Cricetulus griseus: one gene and its partners. The protein of the gene in region 1 interacts with the protein of each later gene in a biochemical or structural test. Links are inferred from orthologs where the notes say so. Each region holds a gene or a part of one and is shown in the gene's direction. Other genes may lie near its edges.

Region 1 (4,018 bases):
TCTAGATCAAAGGACACAAATGTTGCTCTGCTGGACTTGGACCCTAGGCTTTGACTCTTGGGATGGGAGCAGCCAGGCTTGATTGGGCTTTAAGTAAAGGACTTGGTGTGGATGGAGAGTGGTGTGTCAAGGCCTTCTGGGCCTCCTGCTCTCCATCTTCCTGCCCTACTCATTCCTCCTGATCCTTCTAGGAACCCTGCCTCCGGCGTTGCTCCCCTGAAGCCTGAGCAGCTCCAAGTGTTTGAAACCCTGGAGGAGATCACAGGTGGGCCCTGTCTTTCTGTGTCCTGCTCCATGGGGGCCAGGAGTTCTGGACCTTTCTGCATACCCGGCCCCCTCCTCTGCCCGCAGGTTATCTATACATTTCAGCATGGCCAGACAGCCTCCATGACCTTAGCGTCTTCCAGAACCTTCGAGTCATTCGGGGACGAATTCTCCATGAGTAAGTGTGTGGAGAGGGAGCCTAGGAGGCATGACACCACAGTAGCTTTTAACATGAGTTGACAGAGTGTTTTGAGGCAGGGGGAGGTACCTGTTGGCTGGAAATGGACCTAGAGTAGGTACCTCCTTGCAACTGGAAACTTTATTTCCATAGTGGCGCCTACTCATTGACGCTGCAAGGCCTGGGAATCCACTGGTTGGGGCTGCGTTCACTGCGGGAGCTGGGCAGCGGACTGGTACTCATTCACCGCAACACCCGTCTCTGCTTTGTACATACTGTACCTTGGGACCAGCTCTTCCGGAACCCGCACCAGGCTTTGCTCCACAGTGGGAACCAGCCAGAGGAGGAATGTGGTAAGACAGGAAGGCCAGCCCTGTGGGCCAGTACACAGAAGTGTCAATAGCCTCTGGCCTGTGCAAACCTTTTTAGCCCTGCTTTGTTGTTGTTTTGCGATAGGATCTCACTATGCAGCCCTGGCTGTCCTGGAGCTCACTCTGGATACCAGGCTGGCCTCAAACTCACAGGGCTCTGCCTGCTTCTGCCTCCCGAGTGCTGGGATTAAAGGCATGCCCACTGGAGCCATTCTTCACTTCCCAGTGATGGTTTGGCATTGTGACATGGCTTCCAGCTGTGTCCTTCCATGCTGCCCAAACATCCATCCCTTCCTTGTTGTTGAACCACAGAATTCTTCCTCACCCTGAATGTCCTGGCATCAACCCCTTTAGCCAGAGCCATGCTCATTCACAGCCTTTTTGCTTAGACCTGAGTGAGCCTCTCCTAATACCTCTCCTGCTTTTCTCCTCATTGCAGATCGCAAGGACTTGGCCTGCTACCCATTGTGTGCCCATGGGCACTGCTGGGGGCCAGGACCCACCCAGTGTGTCAACTGCAGTCACTTCCTTCGGGGCCAGGAGTGTGTGAAGGAGTGCCGAGTATCGAAGGGGTATGAGTAGCAGAGGAGTGGGGTGGCTTGAGGGGTACACACATGGGGACCTCCCAGACCCCTTACTATACCTGCCTCTCTTACAGGCTCCCTAGGGAGTATGTGGATGGCAAGCATTGTCTGCCATGCCACCCCGAGTGTCAGCCTCAAAACAACACAGAGACCTGCATTGGATCGGTGAGGTGCTGGTGGCCTCGAGGGGGGGGGAGATGGGACACGGACAGACAGACAGACAGACAGACAGACAGACACACACACACACACACACACACACACACACACACACGGGGACAGGACGACACCGGCAAGCAAAAGGGTACCGGGGGTCTGTTAAGTTGCTGCAGGGTAAAATGTTCCTAGAGAAGGCTCAGCTCAGACCTGGACAGCAGGAGGGGAGAAGGTCAGGAAGGCTGGAATGGGGGCACTGCTCTGCCCTCATTGTACTGTGGACCATGGGCTCTCCCTTCACGCTGGTGACACTGGAGCCCTTCAGACAGTCCCAAGAAGGCCTGTGTCCTTGGTTCTAGCTGTGCTAGGGACCACATCCAGGCCCTGTTTCCACCCTCAGTTTTCACTTCTATAAGGAGAATGTTGTAATAGTTCCTACCTGGTTGGGGTGTGGTGAGAATGAAATTAAATAGGATTTGGCACGGTGCCCAAGCACGGAAAAAACTTTGTACATAATAGTTGTCACTTGTCACACCTTAGAGAACGCACGTCCCTCTCTGGGTGCCTCCATTTCCTTGTAAAGAGCAGGGATGTTTACCCCAGTGACAGGGAGGCAGTGTTGCTGCAAGGTCAGGGACACAGGGCCTGGTCCTTCTGCTGTAGGGATGGTGATCCCAACCCCACAAACCCTTCCTCTCTATCCAGGAGGCTGACCAGTGTACCGCTTGCGCCCACTACAAGGACTCCTCCTCCTGTGTGGCTCGCTGCCCCAGTGGTGTGAAGCCAGACCTCTCCTACATGCCCATCTGGAAGTACCCGGATGCGGAGGGCATATGCCAGCCGTGTCCCATCAACTGCACCCACTCGTGAGTGGAAGGGTTTTTTTCTGTAGAAAGGAAGGCTTTCATGATAGTAGCCTCCCTGGAGCTCTTACTGTGAAAGGGGGATAAATCCACCTTCATTCATATTGAGATATAATTTTTTGTTTGTTTTTTTGTTTTGTTTTTCCAAGACTGGGTTTCTTTGTGTTAACAGTTCTCGCTGTCCTGGAACTTGCTTTGTAGGCCAGGCTGGCCTTGAACTCACAGAGATCTACCTGCCTCTGCCTCCTGAGTGCTGGGATTAAAGATGCATCACCACTGCTGGGCTGAGTGGTAATTTTTATATTTCTTTTCTAATTATAAAAATAACACAGGCGCTAGAGAGGTGGTTCAGTGGTTTAGAGAACTTGCTGTGCTTCCAGAGGGTTGGAACTTGGTTCCTAGCACACATATCAGGAGACTCAGGTTGCCTGTTAACTAGCGTCAGGAGATCTGGTCCTATTTTCCAGTCTCCGAGGGTACCCATTGCCCCTCTCCACCATACACACACTTCCCCACACACAAACCCACACACACACACATACCATACACACCACACAGGCTCATACATGTAAATAAAATTAAAAAATAACACATTGGGCTGGAGAGAGGCTCAATGGTTAAGAGCACTGGCTGCTCTTCCAGAGGTCCTGAGTTCAATTCCCAGCAACCACATGGTGGCTCACAACCATCCGTTATGAGATTTGGTGCCCTCTTCTGGAATATACATGGAAGCAGAATGTTGTATACGTAATAAATAAATAAATAAATAAATAAATAAATAAATAAAATCTTTTAAAAAAACACATTAGGGGCTGGAGAGGTGGTTCAGGGGTTAAGAGTGCTTGCTGCTTTTTCAGAGGACTGGAATTTGGTCCATCAGGAGACTCATGCTTTCTGTGAACTCTAGCCTCAGGAGCTCTAAGGCTTTTTTTCTGGCCTCTGCAGGTACACACATATACTCAGACACATACAGACATAAAAAATGAAAAACAACACATTAGAGGATGGCTCAGTGGGCAGAGAGGCACTTGCTCAAAAATCTGATGGTTTCAGTTAAATCACCAGGGAAAACAGTTCAAATTATCCACAGTAGAATTTCCAGCAGCGCCGGGCATTGGTGGCGCACACTTAATCCCAGCACTCAGGAGGCAGAGGCAGGAGGATCTCTGTGAGTTCGAGGCTGGCCTGGTCTACAGAGCGAGTGCCAGGATAGGCTCCAAACAATACAGAGAACCCTGTATCAAAAAAACCAAAAAAAAAAAAAAAAAAAAAAAAAAAAAAGAAAGAAAAAGAAAAAAAAAGAAAAAGAAAAGAATTGCTAGCAGCATTCTTTTATACCTCACATGGCAATTTAACATTTTAATGTGTTATTATAAAAATTATTCTAATTACATTTATTTGTGTATGTGTGTGCATGCTGAGCAGGCATGTGTGTGCATGACAGGTATTTGGAGGTCAGAGGACAACCTCCCGGAGTTGGTTCTCTCCTTTTACCATGTGGGTCCCAGGGATTGAACACAATCATCAGGGTTGATTGCAAATGCCCTTACCTGCTGAGCCATCTTGCCAAACAACATGTGAACCACCCTTCCTTCCTTCCTT
Region 2 (4,594 bases), on another chromosome or scaffold:
TTCCTGCTATTTCCTACCCTTCCAGCTTCCTCCCTGCTGGGCTGAGGTACAAAACACGGCTCTCCCCCAGCTGCCACTACCTAGCTTTGGTCCGGTAGATAATCTCCCATCTCTTTAAGCAGATTTAAAGGCTCATGCTTCCTTTTCTTCCAAATGTGCATACTCTTGGTCATTCCTTGCCTCTGGATATGAACGCTCCTAGAGAAAGCCATCTCTCAAGATGAAGAATCATTGTGTGTGTTTGGAAGTGTATGGCTGTGGCAGAATTTTTCCTCCTCTAAGAGCTGAGGTCTTACTTAGTAGACGGGATGACAGAGTTTCTTTTCAGGAAGAAGTTCGATATTCAGTAACAGCTCTCCTGGGATGGGGACTAAGGGCAGGTGAAAAATCGGAAGAATGATATTTAACCCGTTTTAAGTTCCGGTATTGTTAATCACAATCATACAGTTTTTAATTCTCCAAACTAAACCTAAAGGTAGTTTGGAGGTGAGCCTGTAAAGAAACTACCTTTTACTTCTTGTATTTGCCTCTCCCCCCCCCCCTTTTTCTTTTTTTAAAGGAAATAAGTGATAGTTTATTCTGGAGTAATGCTGATTGGTCACTTTCTTTAACTTCCTGATGGCCTTTAGCAGAGCTGTGGCAGGAAGCTGTGGGCAAAGGAATATGGGCTTGGTGTTATTATGCACTTATGGCCAGATCCCAACCTCTGGTATCCCTTTCTTCTTCCTGTCTTTATTAACACTGATTTGTTTATGGCCCTATTATCCCTTTGTGGCTTGTAGGCACCAGTTCTGTTTGTTTCATTTTCAGACCTCCAAGGCCAACTCCTCTACTAGTGTGAGGGACACTGTTGGGTGGACCTTACAGCCTGTAAGGAGAGAAATATGTCTGTAGGTCTAAAGGTAGCCTGATTGTCTCTACATCCTCTGGAAAGGGGTCCAGGAAGTCCATTGGTCCTTGGTAGGTAACAAGCCTAAGGGACAGGCTTGCTCTAGCTCTTGCCTAGTAGCTCCCAGACCACCGCCCAAATTGGCCTTATTCCTCCTGTTTCAGCTTTGCTTCCCTCTTGGCCTCGATCTACACCCACTGGGACAACTTTCTCTTCCTGGTTCCTTGCTCTTGTCCACAGCTGTTGTGGCTGAGGATGCTAATGGCCCAGGTTCCCTGGGGCTGCCACCTCACTTACTGTATGGTGGGGGGTGGGGATGGTCTAGGCTGTAAGAGAAATACTAAACTCTAGATCACCCCCCCCCCTTTCCTCCCTCAGCAGCTTCTGTTTCCTCCTTTATCCCTCCTAACCTTCCGGGCTTCCTGCTCTCTTTGGCTAGCCCATGTCAGTTTGGATTAATCCAGAGTTCCTCTTAACTCCTTCCTTTCCTTCTTTCCTCTTTTTCTTATTCTTCCATCTTTCTCTCCTACCTGGCACCTTCATCCTCCCCAGACAGACCCTAGTTGTTTGTATTGGGTAAGGGAGAGTGGCCTGGCTAGCACACATTGTGTGAGGAGGTGTCTCTGCCCCTCTGAGCCTGTGAGTCAGCATTGTCCTTGGGATTGGTCTCTCCCCTTGGTTCCCCGCCCCTGGGGAGGAGCCAGTCAGCTCTGGGTCCAGCCTGTACTCCTCAGCCATAAGAGGCTTCCTCGCAGGGCTGGGCAAGGATGTGGCCTGAAACTGTCTTGGTCTGACGTGGGAGAGCAGAGGCCACTTGTCCTTCGCTTCCCTAGGTCCTCTGTTATCACCAGGCTGCAGAGGTCAGACCAGGCTAAGGGCCTGGGGATGCCCCCTGCCTGGCCCCCTTGCCTGAATTTGGCAGGGGGGCCAGGCCGGGCCAGGCAGCAGCCCCCCTTCTCACCCCAGCCATGGATCTTCTACCCCCCAAGCCGAAGTACAACCCACTTCGAAATGAGTCTCTGTCATCGCTGGAGGAGGGGGCTTCAGGGTCTACCCCCACAGAAGAGCTGCCTTCCCCGTCAGCCTCATCCCTGGGACCCATTCTGCCTCCTCTGCCGGGGGATGATAGTCCGACTACTCTGTGTTCCTTCTTTCCCCGGATGAGCAACCTGAAGCTGGCCAATCCTGCTGGGGGGCGCCTGGGGCCTAAGGGAGAGCCAGGAAAGGCTGCTGAAGATGGGGAAGGGAATGCAGGGGCAGCCCTTCGGGACTCAGGCCTCTTGCCCCTCCTCCAGGACATGAACAAGCTGAGTGGAGGCGGCGGGCGCAGGACTCGGGTAGAAGGGGGCCAGCTGGGGGGCGAGGAGTGGACCAGACACGGGAGCTTTGTCAATAAGCCCACACGAGGCTGGCTGCATCCCAACGACAAAGTCATGGGACCTGGGGTTTCCTACTTGGTTCGGGTGAGTGTACATCCTCCTTTCTGCCCCCTCCCATTCCCCATCCAGTTCCTCTGCTCACTCCAGATTTGCTGGGACTTCCTGCTCTTCCCCCAACATCTGTGGCATTCCCCTAGTTCTTAACCCTGCCTGCCACATCCCTTCTCCAGTTCTATGCCTTCTGTTCTAGCCTGGGAGTCTTCTGCCTAGGTCCCCTTTCCTTTGATCCCTACCCCCAGCTTACACAATGGTCAAGCACATCAGAGGCTTTTAGTAAGTGTTGAATGAAAAATGACTTCTGGGTTCTTCCCTCTAGACTCCTCCCTTTTCCATAGCTGTCACTCCATCCCACCCAGTGCCTACAACTCCTCTCACAATCTCTCCACAGTGCATGAAGGTCCTCTTTGGTGGCCCTTCTTCACTATGGGGTGGTGGCCCCAGGAAGTAGGAAGGCTACTTTACCTTTACTTCCCTTAGGGACTACATAGGGCACAGTCCTAGAACCTTCTGCAAAGGGTGGGGTATTGCGGGGAGGGGGCAGCTGATCCATCCTTGCCTCCTTCCCCCACAGTACATGGGTTGTGTGGAGGTCCTGCAGTCAATGCGAGCCCTTGACTTCAATACCCGGACTCAGGTCACCAGGTTAGTGGAGAGGCAGGTGTATTGTTGGAGTCTTGTATGGAGGAGGAGGAAAGGTGGGCATTTGGTGGTGGTGCTGATGGTGACTTCTCATGGGGTGGCTAAGAGACCTGAAAGTTACACCAGTGTGTCTGACTGCAAAGAGCCAGCTCTGGTCTGGAGCACCACCTTACCCACGCAGCCTGGGAGACTGTGGGACGATGGATTACAAAAGGCTGCTTTTGGGAAGGGAATGGCAAATTTGGTAACTGGGAAGAGGTGGGGCTATAACCATTGAGGCCCTAACCCAATCAGCCAGGAAGCAGCCCCTCAGTGTCATCAAATATTAAAGGCCCTTAATTCAATCCACCACGACAAAGAGCCTGGAGTGCTCTGAGAATCTGGCCTGCTCTTCCCCTCCCCCAGCTTTGTGGCAGCCCCAGGCAGTGGGAGGCCAGGAGTAGGTCTGAGTACCCCTGTTTCTCTAGGGAGGCCATCAGTTTGGTGTGTGAAGCCGTGCCTGGTGCCAAAGGAGCCACAAGGAGGAGAAAGGTATGTGTGGTTGTGGTGGGCAGGGGGAAGGCAACCGCAGGCACAAGGGGAGGAGACAGAAGTGTCTCCTGGTGTTGCCAGTGCTCAGGTTCTGAGACTTGGGGCCTTTCCTAGCCCTGTAGCCGCCCACTCAGCTCTATCCTGGGGAGGAGTAACCTGAAGTTTGCTGGAATGCCAATCACTCTCACTGTGTCTACCAGCAGCCTTAACCTCATGGCAGCCGACTGCAAACAGGTGGGTGGGGCTGCTGAAAGGGACGGGGGTAGTTATGGGATGATGGGGTGGGGGGATCTGGAGGCCAAAAACCTGGAGTCCTCAGGAGCAACTGGAGAGTAGAGAAGGAAGAAATTAGAGGGCTTGGGTATAGTGACAAATTTAATCCCAGTACTCCAGAGGCAGAGGCAGGTGTTTGAGTTCCAACTATACAGTGAGACCCTGCATCCCTGTTACACCCCCCCACTCCCCCCACCCCCGCCAAATAGAACAAAATTAGAAGAGTGTAGGATTAGAAGCCGAGAGAAAGACTGGGCGCCAAGGTCATAGCTGGGGTGAGGACACGCGGGATCTTGACCACTCCCTTCCTTCTCCATCCCCTGCCCACATGAGAGAATGAGAGTGGGTGCCAAGGTCATAGCTGGGGTGAGGGTACACGGGACCCTGAGGCTGCTGACCTTGATTGTTCCCTTCCTTCTCCATCCCCTGCCCGCATCAGATCATTGCCAACCATCACATGCAGTCCATCTCGTTCGCGTCTGGTGGGGATCCGGTGAGTTGGGGAACAGAAAGGATGGAGGTGGGGAATGAGAGACTAGGGGTTAAGAAGATACTGACTAACAACAACAACAAAAAGGTGGTATTGGCTAGAGGATGGGCGTGGTGGCATATGCCTTTAATTCCAGCACCTCTAACTTCCAGGACGGCCAGAGAAATCCTTTTTCAAAAAACTGTGGGGGAGAGAGAGGATTGTGGGAATAACTGAAAAGGACAGTCTTAGGGGTCAAATAAGATGGAGTTGTAGAATTTAGCTAACCGGTCTCTTCTGAATCTATCCATAGGACACAGCTGAGTATGTTGCCTATGTTGCCAAAGACCCCGT
Region 3 (4,018 bases), on another chromosome or scaffold:
AGGCTGGTTTCAAACTCACAGAGATCCACCTGCCTCTGCTTCCCGAGTGCTGGGATTAAAGGTGTGTGTCACCAATGCGGGACTCAAAAGGCAGCTTTGGTGGCACAAGCCTGTAACCCAGCACTTAGGTTGTCGAGGCTGGAGCGGTGTCTAGAGAGGTGTGAGAGATGTCTAGAGAGGTGGTGAGTAGTGATTGCTGTTCTTCCAGAGAGTCCATGTAGTGGACTATTAAGTTAACTATGTAAAGGTGTGTTATATTTGTTTATGGTGAATTTGTTTAATCATGTAAATATGTGTTGCTGTTTCACCTTGCCTGCCTAAGGCACCTGATTGGTCTCATAAAAAGCCAAATGGCCAATAGCTAGGCAGGACAGGGATAGGCAGAGAGCAAGTAGAAGAGAGCAAGGAAGAAAGAGGGAGACACCTGGGGCCAACCAGGCAGGCAACTGCCAGACAGACACAGAGTAAGACATAGAGAATGAAAGAAAGATAAAAACACTGAGACAAAGTGTAGACGAAGAGAAATAGGTTAATATAAATTAAAAGAGCTAGCCAGGCCGTAGTGGTGCTCACAGAGAAACCGTATCTAGAGAAACTAAAAACCAAACCAAACCAAACCAAACAAAAAAGAGCTAGCAAGAAACAAGCCTAAACTAAGGCCAAGCATTCATAACTAATAATAAGTCTCCATATCATGATTTGGCAGCTAGTTGGTGGCCCAAGAGAAAGGTGCTACATACCTGAGTTTGGTTCCCAGCACCCATGTAGGACAGCTCACACCTGCCTGTAAATCCAGCTCCAGGGGATCTGATGCCCACTTCTGACCTCTCCCGGCACCCAAATGCATACACAAACACCTACATACACACATAAACAAAAGGACATAACAGAGCCAGGTGGAGAAGAGGCTTGGCTTCTTCCCAGGTTTGTTGCTGACTTGCGAGTGCTCCCTTCCCTCCCTATGCCTCAGTTTACCTCAAGGCTGACTAGACATGGTCAGTCATTTCTCTGCCTAGGTCTGATATTCAAATGGCAGTTTACCCACACAAACAAGATACAGCTCCCCTTCTCTTGTTGACTTAATTTGTCTTCCTTTTGTCCTCCGTGCTATTACAACGAACCCAGGGGATGAAGCAGCTGAGCTAGACACTGATGCTGAGGCTGAGCTGGAACTCTCCGACTACCCCTGGTTCCATGGGACATTGTCCCGAGTGAAGGCTGCTCAGCTGGTGCTGGCTGGTGGGCCCCGGAGCCATGGCCTCTTTGTGATCCGCCAAAGTGAGACTCGACCTGGGGAGTGTGTGCTGACCTTCAACTTCCAGGGCAAGGCCAAGGCAAGTGTGTGTGGCCTGGGGGTGACAGGGGGAGTAGCCTGTTCTGGGGGAGTTGGACTGAGGTAGCCCAGGTCCTAAGGCTCATCACCAGCTCATGACCAAGTCCACTCAAAAAGCAATTCTTGCCGGGCAGTGGTGGCACACACCTTTAGTACCAGCACTCAGGAGGCAGAGGCAGGCAGATCTCTGTGATTCTACAAGAGCTAGCTCCAGGACAGCCCCCAAAGCCACAGAGAAACCCTGTCTCGAAAAACCAAAAAACAAAAAACAAAAACAAACAAACAAACAAAAAAACAGCAAGTCTCTCTGAGAAGTTAGCTTAACAGTCAGATTTACATGCCTGTAGTCCCAGCACTTCAGAAGCTGGGGCAGGAGGATTGTCAGGAGTGAGAAACCAGCTTGGGCTACATAACAAGTCCCTGTCTCAAAAATCTGCCATGAGCAGCCTGTACCTACACTTGCTATCTATCTTACTTTGCTCTGAGGCACCATTGTCTACTAATCCTGATGCTTATAACCTGTATAAAACATCTGTAATGAAGTCTACAACAACAACAACAACAACAAATCTCCACATCAGGACTTGGTGGTGTACATCTGGAAACCCAGCACCCAGGTAGCAGAGGCAGGGGGATCTGGAGTTTAAGGTCATCCTTGGCTACATAGTGAATTCAAGGACAGCCTGTGCTCGTGAGACCCTGTCTCAATAAATAAATGAATAAAGAATTAAGTAAAGGGCCAGCAAGAAGGCTCACCAGTAAAGGCACTTGCAGCCAAGTTTCACTGCCTGAGTTTAATCCCCAGAGCCCACGATGGAAGGAGAGAACTGACTTTTGTAGGTTGTCCTCTGACTTCCAAAATGCAGTGTGACATTTGCACATATGTACACATAAAGATGATGATAGATAGATACATACATACATACATGCATGCATGCAAACATAGATGATAGATGAGTTTTTTAAAAATCAATAAAAATGAAAAAGAGGACAAAGGTCAAGCGGTTTGGGGCATGACAGTGTGGCAGGTGTGGGCAGGGTCACTGTGCCCCTCACACTCACCCCATGTTTCCAATAAGGAAATAGACCCAGCCTTATATCCTTCCAGGGTATCATTTCCCAGCAGCCCCATAGCACCTCAAGTTTCCTGCCCGTGGCCTGCAGCTGAAGGTCATAGCCACCCTCACTTCTGACTGGACCTCCAGCAGCCCTCAGGCCTACTCTTAGCAGTGCTGGCCAGCTGGGTATGTGTGGAGGAGGCTAAGTCTCCCTACCTTGTCAATTCCTCTGACAACCAGGCACTTAATGTCACTCCTGGTGGCTGGTAATTGACATCTTGGCCAGCACTACTAACCATAGAGGGCTTGATCTCAAGCAAACATCCCGAGCTGAGACAGGATGGTGCCCTGTCTACCAGGGCCCATGGAGAGGTAAGCAGGACAGGCATGAGATGACCTTTAACCTGGGCTCTCTTCTAGCCTGGCTGCTATTGTCTCAAAGTGAGCAAAGGAGGCCTGACACCAGAGACCTGTGGTCCAATACTAAAGACTATTGGTCTATGGCTCTTCACACTGAGCCTCCTGCCTCAGGTAAACCCAGGAGATCTAAAGAGGATCATTGCTTAGAGTCACGTGCCATCATTGCACACCGCTGGGTCACCTGAGATCCTCTCTCCAAGCCAAAACAAATATTCAAAAAGACAGATTGATTCCAGTGTGAGGACAGATGTCTGCAGCCCTCAGCCCCAGCCTAGTTCTGTTATGACCATCTCCCGTACCTACCACAGGAGTGACCTACCCCAGATAGGACTCAGGATGAGGACCCCCAACACAACACAGTACCCTAAGGCCTCAGTGTGACTGATGTGTACTCCTCTAACCATTTGGGAAGCAGGTAGCCAGCCCGGGACCCCACTACTGACCATACATCTGTGCCCACAGCACCTTCGCCTGTCTCTGAATGGTCATGGCCAGTGCCATGTCCAGCATCTGTGGTTCCAGTCTGTGTTTGACATGCTTCGACACTTCCACACCCACCCCATACCCCTGGAGTCAGGGGGATCTGCTGGCATCACCCTAAGAAGCTATGTGCGTGCCCAAGGCCGGCCTCCTGGTAAGATGCCACCATCTGGAGCTTGATATGTGGCTCATATATAGAAGGTTTGCCTCGTATGCTCAAGGCCTGGGTTTGATCCCCAGCACTTCATAAACTGGCTGTAATCTCAGTCCTCTGGAGGAGAAAGCAAGAGGATCAGGAGTTCAAAACCATTCTCTGCAACATGGTGATTTAAAGGTCACTGGATATGTTAGACCCAGACTCAAAACCCTTCACCTGGACACACAGACACCTGGGGTGGGTTCTGGAAGCCCTGTAAGGTTAGAGTTCAGCACCAGATTTTGAGGGTACACTGGTGGGGTGCCTAGCTTAGGCTGGAAAGGCATGTCTGCTTGCATACTGTGTCCTGGGTCCCCCTCATCTGGCTGGCTTTGGAGGATGAAGTTCAGGTGCCTAGGGCTAAATGCTGACCAACATGACCTCTCATTACAGACCCAGGACCAGCGCCCAGCACGGTGGCACCAGCCCCCTCCTGCTGGACAGAGCCGGCTGGCCAGCACTACTTCTCCAGCCTGGCCACAGCCACCTGCCCACCCACCTCACCTTCTAATGGCGCTGGAGCATCGTCGT
Region 4 (4,018 bases), on another chromosome or scaffold:
GAGACACACTGCTGGAGGGTGGAGGTTACCAAACATGGCTACTGAACATGTCAGAACTTCTTTGCTTATGCAAATTTGGACAAGAAGAGAGGAGGGTCACCCATTCAGCTATGGTGATTTGATTATTCAAAGCTTGTGTAACGGTGGGGTCGTGGAGGCCAGCCAGCGCCTTCTCTCCACCCAGACTTCATTTAAACCTCTGCCTTTCGGCTCCACTCTCTAAGTGCCCAAAGGCTCTTGGCACTAGAACCCTCACCTATAACTCAGTCTGATGGGAGTGAGACAGGCTCTTGGCTCCTGATATTAATTTTTTTTTCTATATTCTTCCCCTTGCAGCTTCTGTGTTTCTCCTTCTTCTTCTCTCTCTCCCTGGAGTGGCTGACAATGACTACCATGGTCAATGTGGACACCCTTCCGGAATATGAGAAGAGTCAGATCAAGAGAGCCCTGGAGCTAGGGATGGTGATGACTGTGTTCAGTGCCCGGAAGGGCACCTCAGAGCGGAGGACGGTGCAGGTGATCATGGAGACTCGGCAGGTGGCATGGAGCAAGACTGCGGACAAGATCGAGGGCTTCTGTAAGTACTTGCTGGGCGGGCAGTGAGGTCCATCGGCCCTGCCCACCAGAGTAGTACCTGTTGGTCCTCCAGTCTGTCTTTGTCACCTTTGTCAGGATGAGTGTTGGTTTGGTCCATTCTTTTAAAGGCGAAAGCATTTCCACTTGGTGGGGGTAGGGGTGGGGGTGGGGTGGGGTTGAGAGGAGGTGGGGGAAGTTGATCCAGGGAAGTTCTTGTGAAATGACAGCAACCCCAATTGGTCAACTTGGCCGTGATCTTGAAACAGCAGCAGGGTTCATCTGGTTTCCATAGCTGTCAAGCTGTCTGGCTTCTGAAGGACTCCCTGGCTGGGGTCTGGGGAGGCTGGGAGCTTGGTAGCCAGAGGGCTAACGACTTTATTTTATTGCAAACCACAGCAGCAAGAGACTTTTACTTTGGTGTTTAAAGGCACAGAAAAAAAAATCATTGGATATTTTGCAGCTTCCAAATGAAATTCTGGTCCTGGTGGCTGTGCCTTCCCTCATCACCTTCGTTGCCTTACACTGGGCTGTTGGCTCAGCTCCCCGAATTTCTGAGGGGATTGCTTGTCGCAAATAGAGTCAGGACACTTAAGTAATTTTCAGTTGCAGAAGTGTACTTTAATTTTATTCCTTATTAATGAGTGAGAGTTTTATTTATTTATTTTGCTGTGCCTATAGCATTCATATGAGGGTCAGGGGATCACTGGTGGGAGTCGGTTCTCTCTTACATGTGGATTCTGGGGACAGGACTCAGCTTAGCAGGCTTGGTGGCAAACACCTTTAGCCCCTGAGCGATCTTGCCAGTCGAGTTTGTTTTAGAAGGATCCCATGTAGCTAGCCTGGGACATGGAATGTAGCTAAGGATGACTTTCAATTTATGATCTTCCTACCATAGTTCTCAGGGCCAGGATGGAACCCAGGGCTTTGTGCATATGGGGCAAACACTATCCAATGAGCCATGTCTCTAGTTAACAAGATTTTTTTAATAGTAATTTCTTTGTGTGTATGTATGTTTGGCATGCATGCGAAGACCAGAAAACAATTTATAGGAGTTGACCCTGCCCTTCTATCACATGGGTCCCAGGGATCACACTTCAGTCATCAGGCTTGGTGGCAAGTGCCTTTACCCACAGAGCTATCTTGGCAGCCCCCGGAGTAGCTTTTCATTGAAAAACTATAATGTACCTTTGAAATAGTAGTGCTCAGGAGGCTGAGGCAGGGGGGATTGATTGTAAGTTTGAGGGCTACATAGTGAGATCTTCTCTAAGAAATAAAGTACTCTCAGAAGTTGGGGAATTAACTTACAAGAGCCTTTCACCTCTGACCCTTCACCCCTACCCTACAGATAGCTCTGTCCTAGCTTGTTCTTTGTGGTTGGGATACACACCGTGAACAATAGCAAATGGGGTAGGAAAGATTTATTTCAGTTTACAGGTAGAGAGCTTGGTTTGCTCTGCTAAAGATGACACCTTTCACAGTGTGCTGGGTCCTCCTACATCCGATAGCAATTGAAAAAATACCCCACAGACAGGACAATCTGAGGGAGCCAATTACTTTTCCAAGGTGACTCTGATTGGAGGAAGGTTGATAACTGAAGCTAAGATGTCAAACTCATAAACTTCTGATTTTTTTTTTTTTTTTTGAGATAGGGTTTCTCTGTGGCTATGGAGACTGTCCTGAACTAGCTCTTATAGACCAGTCTGGTCTCGAACTCACAGAGATCTGCCTGCCTCTGCCTCCCGAGTGCTGGGATTAAAGGCGTGTGCCACCACACCTGGCCATAAACTGCTGATTTGTCTTCTGCTAATATTCTATGTTCACATAATGGAGGTTTGTTTGTTTGTTTATTTATTTAATGAAAATGGAACTACTTCCTTCTGCTCCTTGGTTTCTTTTTGCCTGGGGCTGGTGCCTTTTCAGCACACAGATCTGTCCCTGGCTTTCTTGGGCCTGGCTGCCAGTTTAACTGGAGTGGGACTTGTGCTGCTTCCAGACATTTGTCACTAGCTGCAGCAATGTTTCTTTCTTTCTTCCTCTTTCTTTCTTTCTTTCTTTCTCTCTCTTTCTTTCTTTTTTTTTGCAGTCTTCTTTTTAAAAAGTCATGATTTTATTGAAACAAAATCAACTTAACATACTTACAGTTCATGATTTAAAGAGACAATGCAAATTTAGGTGTGGTGGCTCAAAGCAGTAGAAGTCTTGGCCCTCTGGAGGAAGGAAGATTAAGGGTTCAAGAGAATGCTGGGCCAGGTATAGTGGCATGCACTGTTTTTTTTTGTTGTTTTGTTTTTTTTTTGAGACAGGGTTTTTCTGTGTCACCCAGGCTAGCCTCAACTGAGAGATCTACCTGCCTCTGCCTTCCAGGTACTGGGATTAAAGACACCACTGCCCAGTTTGTTGCATGTACCTTTAACCTCAGCACTCAGGAGTCAGAGTGCTGAGGAGTTAGTTTGAGGCCAGCCTGGTCTACATAGGGAGTTCCAGGACAGTCAGGGATATGTAGAGAGACCTTGGAAACAGACACACACACACACACACACACACACACACAGAGAGAGAGAGAGAGAGAGAGAGAGAGAGAGAGAGAGAGAGGGAGAGAGAGAAAGGGAGAGAGAGAATCCTCATCACCACATAAAAGCATGGTGACATACACCTGTAATCCCAGAGCTGGGGAGGCAGACAGGAGGGTCCTTGGTGCTTGCTAGTCATCCAGTCTAGTGCCAATCAGTGAGGTGCAGGTTCAGCAAGGAACCTTGTCTCAAAATATAAAGTGGAGAGTGGTCAAGGAAGACACCAGTCATTGACATCCTCCTGCATGTGACAAGGGTCACCATGGTGGTTAGTATATTTAAATTTATGTCATCACTGCCAAGGTCAATTCTGGAACATTTTCAATAAGTAGCCTTGTCCCCCTGACCCTCTTCCTCTGACTCCCTCCTACTGACTCTCCCCTAGCCCTGAATCTACTTTCTGTTTCTACAAATGCTGCTGTTGTGGCCATTTTGTGGGAATGGAATCCTGTTTGTTTATAGCCTTTTCACATGGATTCTTTCTGCTTCATGTTTTAAGATTTTTCCACTTTTTAGTGTGGAATGGAATTTTATTTTTTTAGACATCCAAGTAATATTCTACAGTAGAGTTATTCTACATAAGAAATTGTTAAATCTGTTCATTTTAGGTAGTTAAATAGTTTCTGTCTTCTAATTTGAAGAGTGTGGCTCTGAACATTTATGTTTTTTATTTTATTTTATTTGGCTGTCTTGGAACTTGCCCTGTAGACCAGGCTGGCCTCAAACTCACAGGGATCTGTCTGCCGCTGCCTCCCAAGTGCTGGGATTAAAGACGTTCACCACCACTGCCATTTTTTAAAGAAAAATTTTTGAAGATTTAAAATATTTTGCTGGGCATTGATGGCGCACGCCTTTAATCCCAGCACTCAGGA
Region 5 (4,018 bases), on another chromosome or scaffold:
AAGTACACCCCTTGTCAACTTGACACCCAAACACAGCACTTAAACTGTAACGTTTTACCCCTGGCCCCATAGGCTCATGGCCATCTCTTAATGCAAAATGCCTTCATTCTGGCTTTGAAAGTCATCATGGTCCTGTTTCAGTGGTGGTCAGAAATCCAAAGCCTTTTCTAAAACCGGAGACAAATCTTCACCGTGAACTCCCATAAAATAAAAGAATAAGTCGAATACTTTTAATATGTGATGGCACAGAGTAGGGCATAAGAATTGAGGCATAGCAAGGAAAGATCCCACAAAAACAGGATTGGAGCCCAGCCAGATAAACACCAAATTTTGCACCTCCATGTCCAGCATCTGAGCCCCCGAGCGTCCGGTTTTGCCATCTGCAGCACATGCGGCTTTTCTCTTGGTTAGTTGTGCCTGGTGCCCGCCATATTCCTTACAAAACACTGTGTGTTTCCAGCCTCTCCAGTATCCTGTGCTGTGGCTTAGCAGGAAGAGGTGTTTTTATAAAGCTTTGTGCCTTCAGCCTGCACCGAAACAAACGCCTGCTCTTCCCGTCGCTGCTGTGGATGTAGAAGGCCATTCAGTAGAGAGCTTTGGTTGGCTGGGTACCAACTGATTGAAGTGATGATCTGCTCCCATTTTAAGTCATTTTGGGAATCCTATGAGTGAGCGGCAAATCTGGTGTTGAAGGGGAATCGCCTTCCGAGCCCCATTTCTCTTTCTGCTGTTGTCCCTGCCCTTGACGTTAAAAGAGATGTCCACCTCGGTGATTTTCACAGGTGTCGTCTTACAGAGAAATCAGTGTGTGTGAGCCACACGGTATGGACTAGGGACCCCATTGCAGGTCTCCAGCTCTCAGAGGAACTTTGAACTTTGTATAAACTCCACCCTCTTGGACATTATGGACATTGCGTGCACGGCTTACATACATTTTCTTCTTCCTGAATGATTTTTTATCTCCTCGTGTGGAAATACGTGAGAAGACATGTATTATACATGGCAGTAAGTGTCATATCCATGCCTCCACGAATCACATGCATGGGTTCCTCTATAACTCTGAACTCATGGTATGAGATCAGAACTCTGTCAGGAGGACCAAGGGGTTTGGGCCCAGTATCTTGTCATTGTTCCTTCTGTAATTTGTGGGCATCTCAAATCAGTAGAGGGATTGGATACTGACTTTTCTGCTGCAAAACAAAAACAAAACAAAACAAAAAACCAAAACCCTTATGCATCTTCTGCCTGAGAAGAGTGGAATTGCTGAAGTAGATAAGGCCTGTATGTGTTGTATTCTTACCTATTTATTACTTCCCAGATTGACTTCAGATTTGTGTTGTATCTGTTATGTTAATAAGCTGTATTTTTGGCATAGTTTTAATGTGTATTTCTATCTGTACCACAGATGTGTCTTGACACACACTCTCAATTACATGCCTTCACCGGTCTCTCTGCATTGCTTGCTTTTCCTACCCCCAAGTGTCCAGTAGTCCCATGTCTTCATGGATTTTTTTCTTTCTTTCTTTTTGCCTTACCCAGAATGTTATATAGTGGAATTGCTATTCGAAAACTAGTTAGGAGATATCAAGGCAGACTGTTTAGCGGGTACTGTAGGGGAGTTTTTCAGTTGGGAAGACAGAATTCAGCTCCCCATATAAAGATAAGTGTGAGGTCATCTAGCTAGAGGGGAGGAGGAAATGCAGTGTGTGTGTGTGGGGGGGTCCCATCTGGCCTAACAGGATTTTTGCTAAAAGAGGCCAGGTGACCAGACATCACCTGCAGCATGGTGGTGTGAGAGGAACCTGATCAGGTATGGGGTAGAGGATCTTGCTAATACTGGGCGATGCAAGGATGGACACAAAAGTCACAGAGAACAGGGTTCCCAGGCTCTTCAATAAAGTTTGCCCAGAGGAACCCCAACACGAAAGCTGCATGCCCAGCCTAGCAGGCCTCAAAGCCTGTTTTCACTTCTAGAAGGCATCTGCATTTCCTCTCACTCTTTCCCCAGTGCTTAAATATTCCATTTTCGGGTAGGCAGTTGGTTTATCTGCTCACCTACTGTAGGACGTCATGGTTGTTTCCCAGTTTGGGCAATTATGAATAAAGTAGCCTAAATATCTAAATATAGGCTTTGTGTGGATACCAGTTTTCAAAAATAATTTCATTTTTTTTTACAGGAGAGTTGTAGAGCTATTTGTGCAGAACATTCCTGTATACCCCTTAGCTAATTTCTCCAATGCTAACATATTACATGAGTTGTCAAAACTAATTCACACGGGGACTATGCTGTTGCCCAGGCTTTGTTTACATTTCAACAGTGTTTCCACCAATTTTCTGTCTCTATTTTACCATCCGTCGCAGGATACCATGTTGCATTAGTAGTACAGTAATTTGAATTTGAGTGTACAGAAGTAGTTATATTTGCTAAATAGCTTCAGATCCTTGAGCATATGCTGAGGACAGGAGTGTGAACCTATCAGCTGTAGGGGCTGGTGCTGTTTAGTCAAATGAGCACTTTCATTGTAAGATTTGTATTTTAAGTTTGCATCTGGCTTCGGTAAAATGTGTAGCTCATCTAGTGCAGGGAGAGAGGCTGTAGGCTTTGGTTACAAGATGTTGATTCTCAGCAGTACCAGAGCTTGCTGGAAGGTCATTTTAAGGATGAGTGTTTCAAGGGCCTAGAGGAGACTAGTGGCAGTGTAGTCACAGGAGCTGTCATTGTCTAATTTTTCAAGTCTGTCAGAGGACAAGGCGTTCAGGTAGCTAATGAGCATCTTTAAATGTTTTGCTGGCAGAAGGACTCCATGAAAGATGACAGAAGAAGTCATTGTCATAGCCAAGTGGGACTACACGGCCCAGCAGGACCAGGAGCTCGACATCAGGAAGAACGAGAGACTGTGGCTGCTGGATGACTCCAAGACCTGGTGGCGGGTGAGGAACGCAGCCAACAGGACGGGCTACGTGCCGTCCAACTATGTGGAGCGCAAGAACAGCCTGAAGAAAGGCTCCCTGGTGAAGAATCTCAAGGACACGCTAGGTGAGTGTCCACAGCCCACCTGGCACAGCTAGGTCATCGCTGTGTGTGTGTGTGTGTGTGTGTGTGTGTGTGTGTGTGTGTGAGAGAGAGAGAGAGAGAGAGAGAGAGAGAGAGAGAGAGAGAGAGAGAGAGAGATGCAATGTGTGTGTGAGTGTGCTGTGTGTGAACATGGCATGTGCACTGTGTGTGTATATGTGGTTTGCTGTGTAGGGTATGGTATAGTGTGTGTAAGTGTGGTGCATGTGGGGTGTGATATGATTTGGTGTGGGTATAGTGTATGTGTATGAGTGTAGTGTGTGTATATATGTGGTGTGGTATGGTGTGTATGTCTGTGTTGGGGTCGGTGTTAATGTTGACAGCCTCCTACTTGGGTTTTGTACAAAGATCAAGTTAAAGACTCTACTTATCATTTTCTGGGTAACTTCTAGAGTTTAGGATCCTGGGTAAATCAACACTTCTGTGTTCTATGGACCCCTAAACAGCTGTTTCCTTGCATCCAAACTCTCAAAGACCCTGACTTAGACTCACAACAAGTTTCATAACTTTGCCTGTCAGTGCACCAACCCTGTTCTCTTACAAACTCCCATGCATTGGCTTTGTGCACACAGAAGGAGAAGACAGGTATATTTTGGTCTGTTTTTGTTTTTGTTTGTTCTTGTCTTAGGTGATATTTTATACCACAGTTTCAGGCAGTTAGTTGATGTGTAGTTGGGGTGATGAGCAATGTGACATCAGAAGCCTCGCAAGTGGACAGTTCTACAAGCCCTGTTCAGTTATGATAGTCTCTGGTCCTTCCCATTCATGCCTCCTTTCTGCCTCTGGTGTATGAGTGCATTTCCTATCACTGTAACAAACTGCTTGACAGTGGGTTGCTTTATCAATAAAAAGGCTTAATTTGGCTTACTTCAAGTCAAATGACTGTATGTGTATTGCCTTCTTGGCAAAGTTTCAGTGTGGTACAAGTATCATATGGCAGAGACT
Region 6 (4,018 bases), on another chromosome or scaffold:
CTTAGACTGGGGTGCAGTTCAGTTGGAAGAGCCACTTTACATAGTGTGTGGGAAGCCTAGGTTCCATCCCTAGCACCATAGAAACCCAGTACATGTTCGTAAACCCAGATCTCAGAAGTTAGAGACAGGAGGAGGTCAGCCTGGGCTACATGAGGCCATGTCAAGAGGAAAAACTTCTTTATTCATGCCAGGCCTGCCGGAGGAAGATATACCCAAATCCAGTTTGGGCTGTGTAGTAAGACTCGAGTTTTTTTTTTTTTTTTTTTTTTTTTTTTTTGTTTGTTTGTTTGTTTTGTTTTTGTTTTTCGAGACAGGGTTTCTCTGTGTAGCTTTGGAGCTGACACTCGCTCTGGAGACCAGGCTAGCCTTGAACTCACAGAGATCTGCCTGCCTCTGCCTCCCGAGTACTGGGATTAGAGGCTTGCACCACCAACACCGGGTTAAGACTTGAGTTTTTGTGTGTTTCATCAAGCCCCCGCTGTGGCAGAAAGTGGAGGAAAGCAGGTGTGCTCTGGTCCCAGAGCCATAGTCTGGTGGAGATGGCCACTGACAAATCTTCGTTGCTGAGGACAGATTTGGGACTTGGTACTCCTCAAGTGATATTATGAAAACAGACAGGTCTAGGGAATTGGATGCAAGAATGCAGCCCAGTGCCCTTGCAGTGTGCAGATGAGGCCAGAGCTATGATGTGTACACTCAGCTTGTGGGTCATCCAGGCCATAGAGACTGTGACTGCCTCTCCTGTGTCAAGGCCTCGTGGGTGGGGATATAGCATTGACAAAGGCTGGGAATCCCCCAGGGAATAGGTGCTTCCCATGGAGAGGTGGGCAGAATGAGATGGGCTTGGTTAGAAGTGGCCTATTCCTTTCTGCCTCCTGGTTTTTACTGTTTACTATGTGCACACAGCACCTACTGTGTGCTAAAGACCTTATGGTATGATATACAAAGTACTGACTGAGTTCGGTGTCCCCCAGTGAGTACACAGGCTTCTGCACTGGAGTTGAAGTAACCTGTCAGGTGCTGGAAATGGCTGGCCACCCTTACTTGTTTATTCTGAGTGTGGCAGTACACAGGACACAGGAGAAAGTGCCTGTGTAGTAGGTACAGTAGAAAGAACACCGCATCTGGGCCCAGATGTTTCCCTCTAGTCCTGGCAAACATTTTTTTTTTGATGATTTACTAATTTTTGTTTTATGTACATTGGTGTTTTACCTGCATTTATGTATGTATTTGAGTGTCACATCACTTTGAACTTGATCACAGACAGATGTGACTGCCATGTAGGTTCTGGGAATTGAACTCAGGTCCTCTGGAAGAGCAGCCAGTACTCTTAACCAATGAGATATCTCTCCAGCCCCTGACAAATGTTTAATGGGCTGGAAATTGAGGTTCAGAGAGATGTAGTCTGATGTCAGTGGCCACACAGTCAGTGCCTGGTCCTCTTTGCAGTGAGCTCTGGGGAAACAGGTTGGTTTGCTTGTTTTGAGACAGGTCTCATGAAATGCAGGGTGGCCTTGAGTTAATTCACTATGCAGCCAATGTTGATCTTGAACTTTTTTTTTTTTTTTTTTTTTTTTTTTTGGTTTTTTGAGACCGGGTTTCTTTGTCTAACAGTCCTGGCTGCCCTGGAACTTGCTCTGTAGACCAGGCTGGCCTCAAAGTCACAAGATCCTCCTGCCTCTGTCTCCTGAGTGCTGAGATTAAAGGTGTATGCCACCACTGCCCGGCTTGACCTTTTGATCTTCCCTGGTCTTGATTACAGGCACATGCCACCACACAGCTAAGGTTTAACTATATTGCCTGTTCACTGTTGTATCCCTGGGGCTGACTACAATGCCTGGAACAGTAGGCCCTCAGCATATTGTATGTGGAATGATGGAGGGGTGGATGGTGGGTCTTGTGCACAGGTCCCTGCAGCTGTGACAGGCAAGCTGGGTGACCCTGTTCACTCAGGCTGTGCTTCAGGGATGTCCCTGTGCCTGGCTCCTCTATTACTTATCTTATTCAAGGACAGTGCAGTGGTGACCAATGGCATCTTTCATGGTTGTCTTATACCTGCGTCTGCCTGAGTTCCCTGCCAGGCCTAGAGATGCCTATGTCCCTGTGAATCTGGTTAGTACAGGCTGCATTTTGTCTTTAGTGTGGCTGTCACCATGCTTGCTGCAACATTTAAATGAGGACAGCAGCCAGTCACATTGAACTTTTCCAAATTCTAGGCCTGTAATTGCCATGGGAGCTGAGGTGGAGCATCACTTGAGGTAACTAGTGAGAGGTGGGGCTGGAGTCCATGTTCCCAGCCATGCTTTCTAGAGATGGGTAGTTACTTCCCCTGCACTCCCATAGTTTACTGTTTCAGGATGGACCTGCTAGTGAGGCCTATCTTGACCACCATTAGATGTGTAAAAACTAGCTGGAGAGAGACATGTGAGCCTTGGTTTATGTACTGCATAATAGGATCATACAGGGTGGACTGTTGGGTTTGATTTCGGGGTGACCTTGGGGCTTCCTGGAGGAGGTGACAGATTGCCTCTTGCCCTTGCCTCCCAAGCCTGCCTGCTTAGTGAGGGTTGTCACCAATAGCAGGGAGCTGTGGTCAGGGCTCTGGGCCCATGAGCAAGTAAGTGCCTACTATGAAAACCTTTAGCTGTGGGGAAGGGGTCTAAAATTACTCTTTTCAAACTGACCTCTTAAAGAAGTTGTACTGCTTCCCAGAACCTACCATAGGTAATGAAGTGCCCAGCCCTGGGTGTCACTGGTCAGTTTTTACTTTAGGTGTGCTGTGAGTAGCCTGTTTCCTGGTAGGCAGTTCCTCTCATCCAAAATTCACTCCCCATGAATTTCAACCCAGGCTTGAAAATACTAGATGGAAAATCTGGGAAAACCCCACGCATGGCTCTGGTGCTGAGCTCTTGGAGCCCCTCTGGAGCTCCTCCCTGGCCTGCTTCCTGTATCCACCTTGTATGCACTGCCCGCCTTCTTGTCTGCTGGTTTCCACGTGCGGGGTTCCCGGGGTGGCCGTGGGGGGCGGGTACGTTCCCTGGCTCACTGCTCTCTGTCTGTCTTGCAGCTCGGCCGCCCCGCCTCGCTCTCCGCCATGAATGGGTCCACCGTGCAGCCCTCCCGCACGTCCTCGGCACCCGCGTCGCCCGCCTCTCCGCGCGGCTGGAGCGACTTCTGTGAGCAGCACGCAGCAGCAGCAGCGCGGGAGCTGGCCCGCCAGTACTGGCTGTTTGCGCGCGCGCACCCACAGCCACCACGCGCCGACCTGGTGTCGCTGCAGTTTGCCGAGCTTTTCCAGCGACACTTTTGCCGCGAGGTGCGCGAGGGCCTCGCGGGACCGCCGGGCCGCGACTACCGTGCCACTGCCCCACACCACCGCCCCGCACTGTCCAAGGCACGAAGCTCCGAGGACCTGGGCCCAAGGCCCACCTGCGCCCTGCAGCATCTGCGCCGCGGCCTGCGCCAGCTCTTCCGCCGCCGCTCGGCCGGGGAGCTGCCGGGGGCCGCCAGCGACACCAATGACACCGACACCGACACCTCTGCCACCACCAGGCCTGGACCGGCCCGCAAGCTGCTATCCTGGAGCTTGCGGGAGCCGCCAGCCGAAGCGCTCAAGGAAACTGCGCTGCGCTATAGCCTGGCGGACGAGGCAGCCATGGACAGCGGCGCACGCTGGCAGCGGGGTCGCCTGGTGCTGCGGGCCCCGGGCCCAGGCCATGGCCGCCTACTGCAGCTCTTTGACCCGCCCAAGGTAAGAGCCCCGCAGAGTATGCAGCAGCGGGTCCATAGCTCGGTAGGCCTCCGTGGCCCACACTTAGCCAGGACGGTGAGTCTGCGACTCACTGTCGATGGGTTGGAACTGGTTAGTTCATAGGTTTTGATCTTCCCTGGTCTTGATTACAGGCACATGCCACCACACCAGCTAAAGTTTAACTATCTTGCCTGTTCACTGTTGTATCCCTGGGGCTGACTGCAATGCCTGGAACACAGTAGGCCCTCAGGATATTGTGTGTGTGGA
Region 7 (4,683 bases), on another chromosome or scaffold:
TTTTGATATCTTGAAGTTCTCCTTGAAAAGCCCTGCTCTTCTTTGGTTAGGTATGTTCCTACATACTTAACTTTTTGAAGCTATCACAAATAGGATATTTTTTCTTTCTCTGAGAATACATTGTTGGTATATATATAAAGGTTAGTGTTTTGATATTGATTTTGTATCCTGCAACTGTGCTATTAGATCAAACAGTTTTCTAGTAAATTCTATAAGGTATTTTCCTTTTTTTTTTTCTTTTTGTATTGTTTTGTTTGTTTGGGGGTTTTATTTATTTATTTTATTTTGGTTTTTCAAGACAGGGTTTCTCTGTGTAGATTTGGAGCCTATCCTGGCACTCCCTCTGGAGACCAGGCTGGCCTCGAACTCACAGAGATCCGCCTGCCTCTGTCTCCCGAGTGCTGGGATTAAAGGCGTGCGCCACCAGCGCCTGTTATTTATTTATTTATTTATTTAATTTATTTTGGTTTATGTTTGGGGTTTTTGTTTTTGTTTCTCAAGTCAGGGTTTCTCTGTGTAAGCCCTAGCTATCCTAAAACTGACACTGTAGACCAGGCTGGCCTTAAACTCAGAAACTCACCTGCCTCTGCCTCCTGAGTGCTGGGATTAAAGACGTGCAAGTCTTTTCCATTTCTAAGTAATGTTAAATGGGTCATAGAATCTGTTCCCCTGGGTTAACACCAAAAGACAAAGAGGATACCCACCTGCCACATGTGACTTGCCTCTCCCCCACCCCTTAAAGTCCCTACAGTTTCCCAAGACAGCACTGCTTGGAAGCATAAGTTCAAAGCATGAACCTGCGGGGATAGCTCAGATTCAACAACACCTGTGTAGTTAGAGAATCCCCCAAGGTTGCTTAGTGTTGCCCTAATCCAACTCCATTATCTGCTCAAGGACAGATGGCAGGCTCTCCATCTGCCTCAAACTCAAATTCCGTGTCTCATGGATCCCATATGGCTGAAAATAAGTCCCACCAGCCGCTGGAGCAATGGCTCCATGGGCAAAGTTCCTGCCGTACAAGCTTGTAGGCCTGAGTTGGGAGCCTCAGCAAGCACATAAAAACTGGGCACACGCCTGTAACCCCAGTGCTGGTTTAAAGGGAAACAGTGGATCCCAGGGGGTTAACTGACCAGCCAGTCCAGCTGAAATTGTGAGCTCAAGGCTCAATGAAAGACCCTGTCTCAGACTATAAGGTGAAGGGCTGGTTAAGGAAGATGCTTGCTTCAACCTTTAGTTTCCATGTACACACACGAGCAAGTGCACCTGTGGCATAACACATACATCACACAAACACAGACATGTACACACATACACAAAGTTCTTCCAGAAGTCTAACCCACATCCTTCCTGTTGCTGCCCTACCCTACCCTCCCATTTCTCTCCTCAAAGTAAAATTCTGACTATGAATATCTGAGAAGTCTTACAGAGTTTTCAGGGAGGGACAAAGGTCAGCTAGCAAGCACTCCTTGGCACTAATAGAGTAAACCACCAGCACCTCAGCTGCCTGCCTTCCAGGGCCAATTCTGTTTCTTGTTGGGCTTTCCATGACGTGGGTCCTCTTCACGATGAAGGAGGTGGGTAAAGCGACATTTCCTGTCGCTGGGGGAAGGAGTGAGAGGAGAGATGCGTGGCCGCCGCGGAGTGTGTCCCTCTTTTGAGAGCACACACACCTGCCTCTATGGAGTTCTGCTTGGCTCAGACATGCCCCCAAGGTACGTGTGATGCTCAAGAGTCCCCTACCCCTACTGCCTTCCTGGGCCTGAGCTCCTATTTCATGATCACAGCTCCTGACCCCAGCCAGAGCTGCCATAGTGTCAACTCCTGCTCCATCTCTGGGGCTCTGTACCTATGCATCCCTGAGGGCAGGGGACAGGGTCGTTAGATTTTTAGGAGACTGGAACAAGAGGGCAAAAAAAGATGGCAGGTGGAAGAGCCTAGACTAAGAGAGGGGCCTGGCCTGAAGGAATTTACCTCTTACACGGCTTCCAGGCCATCAGAAGGCCAGCCTAGTTCCCAGGGTCACCATCTGGAAGACCTTGGCTCCTTATTCCTACCCCTGAGGTGCCCACCCACTTCCCCGGTAGACACTTGCACTTAGCCTGTTGCCATGACTGTTCCTGTTAGGAAAAGCCTCTTCAGGGATGTTTGAGAGACACTCTGAGCCTGGGGGACAGGAGGGAAAGAGAGGGAGAAGCAACTCCTCCCTGAGAAACCCCAGAAACCCCCTTTGTCCCAACAGGAAATCATGAAGCCCCCTCCCCAACCTTCAGCACCTTCCAGCCCATGAACTTGACCCAGGGGCGATGCCAGGAATTGGGTTGGGGGAGCAAGCCCAGCATGCAGGCTCCGAAGGAAGAGAAGGCTCAGCTTAGCCCCAGGGCCACCCACACCATGGTGAGTAAAAGCATGGAAGGGAACGGTTGCCTCATCTGCTCCCACCCTCCCTAGTATGAGGGCATGGAGATGGATATAGAAGGCTAGAAGGAGTGAACGGCTGGCTGAGGACAGGGCTGGGTACCGAGGAAGGAGGAAGTGGGGCGTGCCTCCTTCCCGTGCATAGCAACCCACTTGCCCTCAGTTCCTCTGGTCCTAGAAAGCTCAGGACCAGTCAGCAGGGGACCAGCACACAGTCAGGCACTGATTCCAGATGCTGCTGTCTGTGGCCCACGTCAGCACCTCCATTTGCCCAAAGCATTAAAGAGCCAATCTCAGTTTCTTGCCCTCTCAGCCACCAGCTCACCAGCCACCTTTACTAGAGAAGAAGCCAACCTCTCCTGCCTCGGGCAACTTCCTATCCCATCCCCTACCCTCTGAGGCCAGTATGGAAGGTCATCAGAAGGCCAGAAGAAATTTAAGTCAGTGGCCTTGGGAAGGACTTTCTGGGCAATCTGACCCTAAGATAGGTCGAGGTGCTGGTACGAGGATAAAAAGGAGGCAGCTGCGGTCAGAAGCCCTCTAATCTTGGCTGCTTCACACTGACTTCTCCCATGCCCAGGCTTCTGCCTCAGCCTGGGTCCTAGGGAACGCTGACAAGGAAGAAGAGGTGCCTGGGAAAGGTGGCCTGTCATTGCAAGCCGAGACCAGAGAGTGGGTCCAGAAGACCCAGGCCCACTGGCTCTTGCTCAAGACTGCCCCTGTTTGGTTCCATGGCTTCATCACCAGGCGGTGAGTCACGGGGAGAAAACCCCCAGAAGGCACAGCGGCTGTGGGTCCTGAGTCAGGCCGGAAATCGTGACAGCTAGGACTCTAGTTTCCCAGGCCTTTCACGGAGGGGATGCCTGGCTCAACCCACTCTGTGCCTCAGTTTCTCTCCCTAGGTTCACTTTATTCTACAGGCTCTAGGCCTCTAGTCCTCATCTTCAGCCCCTCTCCCCTCCATCTCTGTCAGCTCTGTCCAGCCCTCCCTTCTCTCTTCCTACCCTTGCAGATCCTCCATGCTCCATCTCTCAACCCTACTTGTCTTCCATCATCTCCTCGGTCCAGCTTTAACCTTCTAAACTTTAGCACTTGTAACTGCCATGTCTGTTACTCCTGCAGCTCCCCCTCCAGCAGGATGAAGCTCAGGGCCCTTTGAGTTGGACCCCTGACCCCTCATCTCCACATAGTCGTGGCATACTTGCTTGGGATGGAAGTGAGAGGTCCCTTACCAGAACCTGGGAGACAGAAATGAGGTCGCAGGAGTCAGAACCGACCCCACCCTTCTCTCCAACTGTACAGGGAAGCTGAGAGGCTGCTGCAGCCCCAGCCACAAGGATGCTATCTGGTGCGCTTCAGCGAGAGCGCTGTGACCTTCGTGCTATCCTACAGGTAAGAGGCGGGTCCTCATTGACAAGCTGGACGCGGGGGCTTTGTGCTAACCAAGGAGCAGCCCTCTGTGCTGACCTGCTATCTCTCCAAGGAGGGCTCAGGGTTTTTCCTTCAGCTTGGTGGGGGAAGAAATGGCAAGTCTGACCCAAAGTGGCCCCTCCAGGAGCCGGACCTGCTGCCGTCACTTCCTCCTTGCCCAGCTAGGGGATGGGCGTCACGTGGTGCTGGGCGAAGACAGTGCCCATGCGCAGCTTCAGGACCTGCTTCAACACTACACAGAGTGTCCCCTCAGCCCCTATGGGGAGATGCTCACCCAGCCCCTTGCCCGCCAGGTGAGCCCTTACTCAAAACCCAAAACTCTGACCAGTGCCGTTGTCGCCACCTCCAGCATCCCAGCCAGATCCAGGCTACTGGCATCTGCCTTTCTCACCCCAACCCATGGCTGGCCACACTTGCCTACGTAGTCACACCTCTTCCAGAACAGCTCTCGACCAGACCAGCAGGGTAAAGGGAGGGAAGGGAGACAACCAAGTTAAATTAAGCTAGGTTTACTGAGTCTCTGGAGCAAGGGTGAAGAGGAGAGGTCCTGTAAACAGACCTATGGCCATGACAGGTGGGCATCTCACTCATAGACCTTACTACAACAGCGACATCAGACAGTCCGATGATGAGATCAAGTTCGGAGGCTGTGGTGGATGCCGGGGAATGCAAGGTCCACCACTTAGCTTGGCAGGAATTGTCAGGGAGCACCCACCTTCAAGAAGTACAGGTGCTTCTGACCACTGTGTGTTGAGACATTGAGGAAATAAACAATGACCAAAAAATATCCTGGCCTTCATGAGGCATCCGTTCTAGGACAAGACGGACACCATAAGC

What was found.
Region 2: the proteins of Erbb2 (region 1) and Shc1 form a complex in vitro, tested with the Homo sapiens proteins (2 studies listed by BioGRID and IntAct, with this or other methods). The link is inferred for Cricetulus griseus from reciprocal best matches to the Homo sapiens genes ERBB2 and SHC1.
Region 3: the proteins of Erbb2 (region 1) and Sh2b2 form a complex in vitro, tested with the Homo sapiens proteins (2 studies listed by BioGRID and IntAct, with this or other methods). The link is inferred for Cricetulus griseus from reciprocal best matches to the Homo sapiens genes ERBB2 and SH2B2.
Region 4: the proteins of Erbb2 (region 1) and Plcg2 form a complex in vitro, tested with the Homo sapiens proteins (2 studies listed by BioGRID and IntAct, with this or other methods). The link is inferred for Cricetulus griseus from reciprocal best matches to the Homo sapiens genes ERBB2 and PLCG2.
Region 5: the proteins of Erbb2 (region 1) and Nck2 form a complex in vitro, tested with the Homo sapiens proteins (2 studies listed by BioGRID and IntAct, with this or other methods). The link is inferred for Cricetulus griseus from reciprocal best matches to the Homo sapiens genes ERBB2 and NCK2.
Region 6: the proteins of Erbb2 (region 1) and Sh2b3 form a complex in vitro, tested with the Homo sapiens proteins (2 studies listed by BioGRID and IntAct, with this or other methods). The link is inferred for Cricetulus griseus from reciprocal best matches to the Homo sapiens genes ERBB2 and SH2B3.
Region 7: the proteins of Erbb2 (region 1) and Sh2d2a form a complex in vitro, tested with the Homo sapiens proteins (2 studies listed by BioGRID and IntAct, with this or other methods). The link is inferred for Cricetulus griseus from reciprocal best matches to the Homo sapiens genes ERBB2 and SH2D2A.

What each region holds. Positions count from the first base shown.
Region 1 is NC_048600.1:111,550,415-111,554,432, forward strand, and holds part of Erbb2 (receptor tyrosine-protein kinase erbB-2), read left to right. Parts: intron 1-191; coding exon 192-265; intron 266-351; coding exon 352-442; intron 443-595; coding exon 596-795; intron 796-1,252; coding exon 1,253-1,385; intron 1,386-1,471; coding exon 1,472-1,562; intron 1,563-2,258; coding exon 2,259-2,419; intron 2,420-4,018. UniProt on the Homo sapiens protein: Protein tyrosine kinase that is part of several cell surface receptor complexes, but that apparently needs a coreceptor for ligand binding. Essential component of a neuregulin-receptor complex, although neuregulins do not interact with it alone.
Region 2 is NW_023276806.1:65,124,858-65,129,451, reverse strand, and holds the start of Shc1 (SHC-transforming protein 1), read left to right. Parts: upstream 1-1,448; 5' UTR 1,449-1,857; coding exon 1,858-2,352; intron 2,353-2,899; coding exon 2,900-2,970; intron 2,971-3,434; coding exon 3,435-3,498; intron 3,499-3,612; coding exon 3,613-3,732; intron 3,733-4,210; coding exon 4,211-4,264; intron 4,265-4,553; coding exon 4,554-4,594. UniProt on the Homo sapiens protein: Signaling adapter that couples activated growth factor receptors to signaling pathways. Participates in a signaling cascade initiated by activated KIT and KITLG/SCF.
Region 3 is NC_048597.1:115,193,636-115,197,653, reverse strand, and holds part of Sh2b2 (SH2B adapter protein 2), read left to right. Parts: intron 1-1,125; coding exon 1,126-1,334; intron 1,335-3,273; coding exon 3,274-3,445; intron 3,446-3,880; coding exon 3,881-4,018. UniProt on the Homo sapiens protein: Adapter protein for several members of the tyrosine kinase receptor family. Involved in multiple signaling pathways. May be involved in coupling from immunoreceptor to Ras signaling. Acts as a negative regulator of cytokine signaling in collaboration with CBL.
Region 4 is NC_048596.1:194,122,655-194,126,672, forward strand, and holds part of Plcg2 (1-phosphatidylinositol 4,5-bisphosphate phosphodiesterase gamma-2), read left to right. Parts: intron 1-336; 5' UTR 337-384; coding exon 385-577; intron 578-4,018. UniProt on the Homo sapiens protein: The production of the second messenger molecules diacylglycerol (DAG) and inositol 1,4,5-trisphosphate (IP3) is mediated by activated phosphatidylinositol-specific phospholipase C enzymes. It is a crucial enzyme in transmembrane signaling.
Region 5 is NW_023276807.1:4,981,947-4,985,964, reverse strand, and holds part of Nck2 (cytoplasmic protein NCK2), read left to right. Parts: intron 1-2,795; 5' UTR 2,796-2,811; coding exon 2,812-3,037; intron 3,038-4,018. UniProt on the Homo sapiens protein: Adapter protein which associates with tyrosine-phosphorylated growth factor receptors or their cellular substrates. Maintains low levels of EIF2S1 phosphorylation by promoting its dephosphorylation by PP1.
Region 6 is NC_048597.1:101,679,965-101,683,982, reverse strand, and holds part of Sh2b3 (SH2B adapter protein 3), read left to right. Parts: intron 1-3,067; 5' UTR 3,068-3,094; coding exon 3,095-3,751; intron 3,752-4,018. UniProt on the Homo sapiens protein: Links T-cell receptor activation signal to phospholipase C-gamma-1, GRB2 and phosphatidylinositol 3-kinase.
Region 7 is NW_023276806.1:66,619,497-66,624,179, reverse strand, and holds the start of Sh2d2a (SH2 domain-containing protein 2A), read left to right. Parts: upstream 1-1,678; coding exon 1,679-1,712; intron 1,713-2,239; coding exon 2,240-2,419; intron 2,420-3,008; coding exon 3,009-3,165; intron 3,166-3,717; coding exon 3,718-3,807; intron 3,808-3,970; coding exon 3,971-4,139; intron 4,140-4,683. UniProt on the Homo sapiens protein: Could be a T-cell-specific adapter protein involved in the control of T-cell activation. May play a role in the CD4-p56-LCK-dependent signal transduction pathway. Could also play an important role in normal and pathological angiogenesis.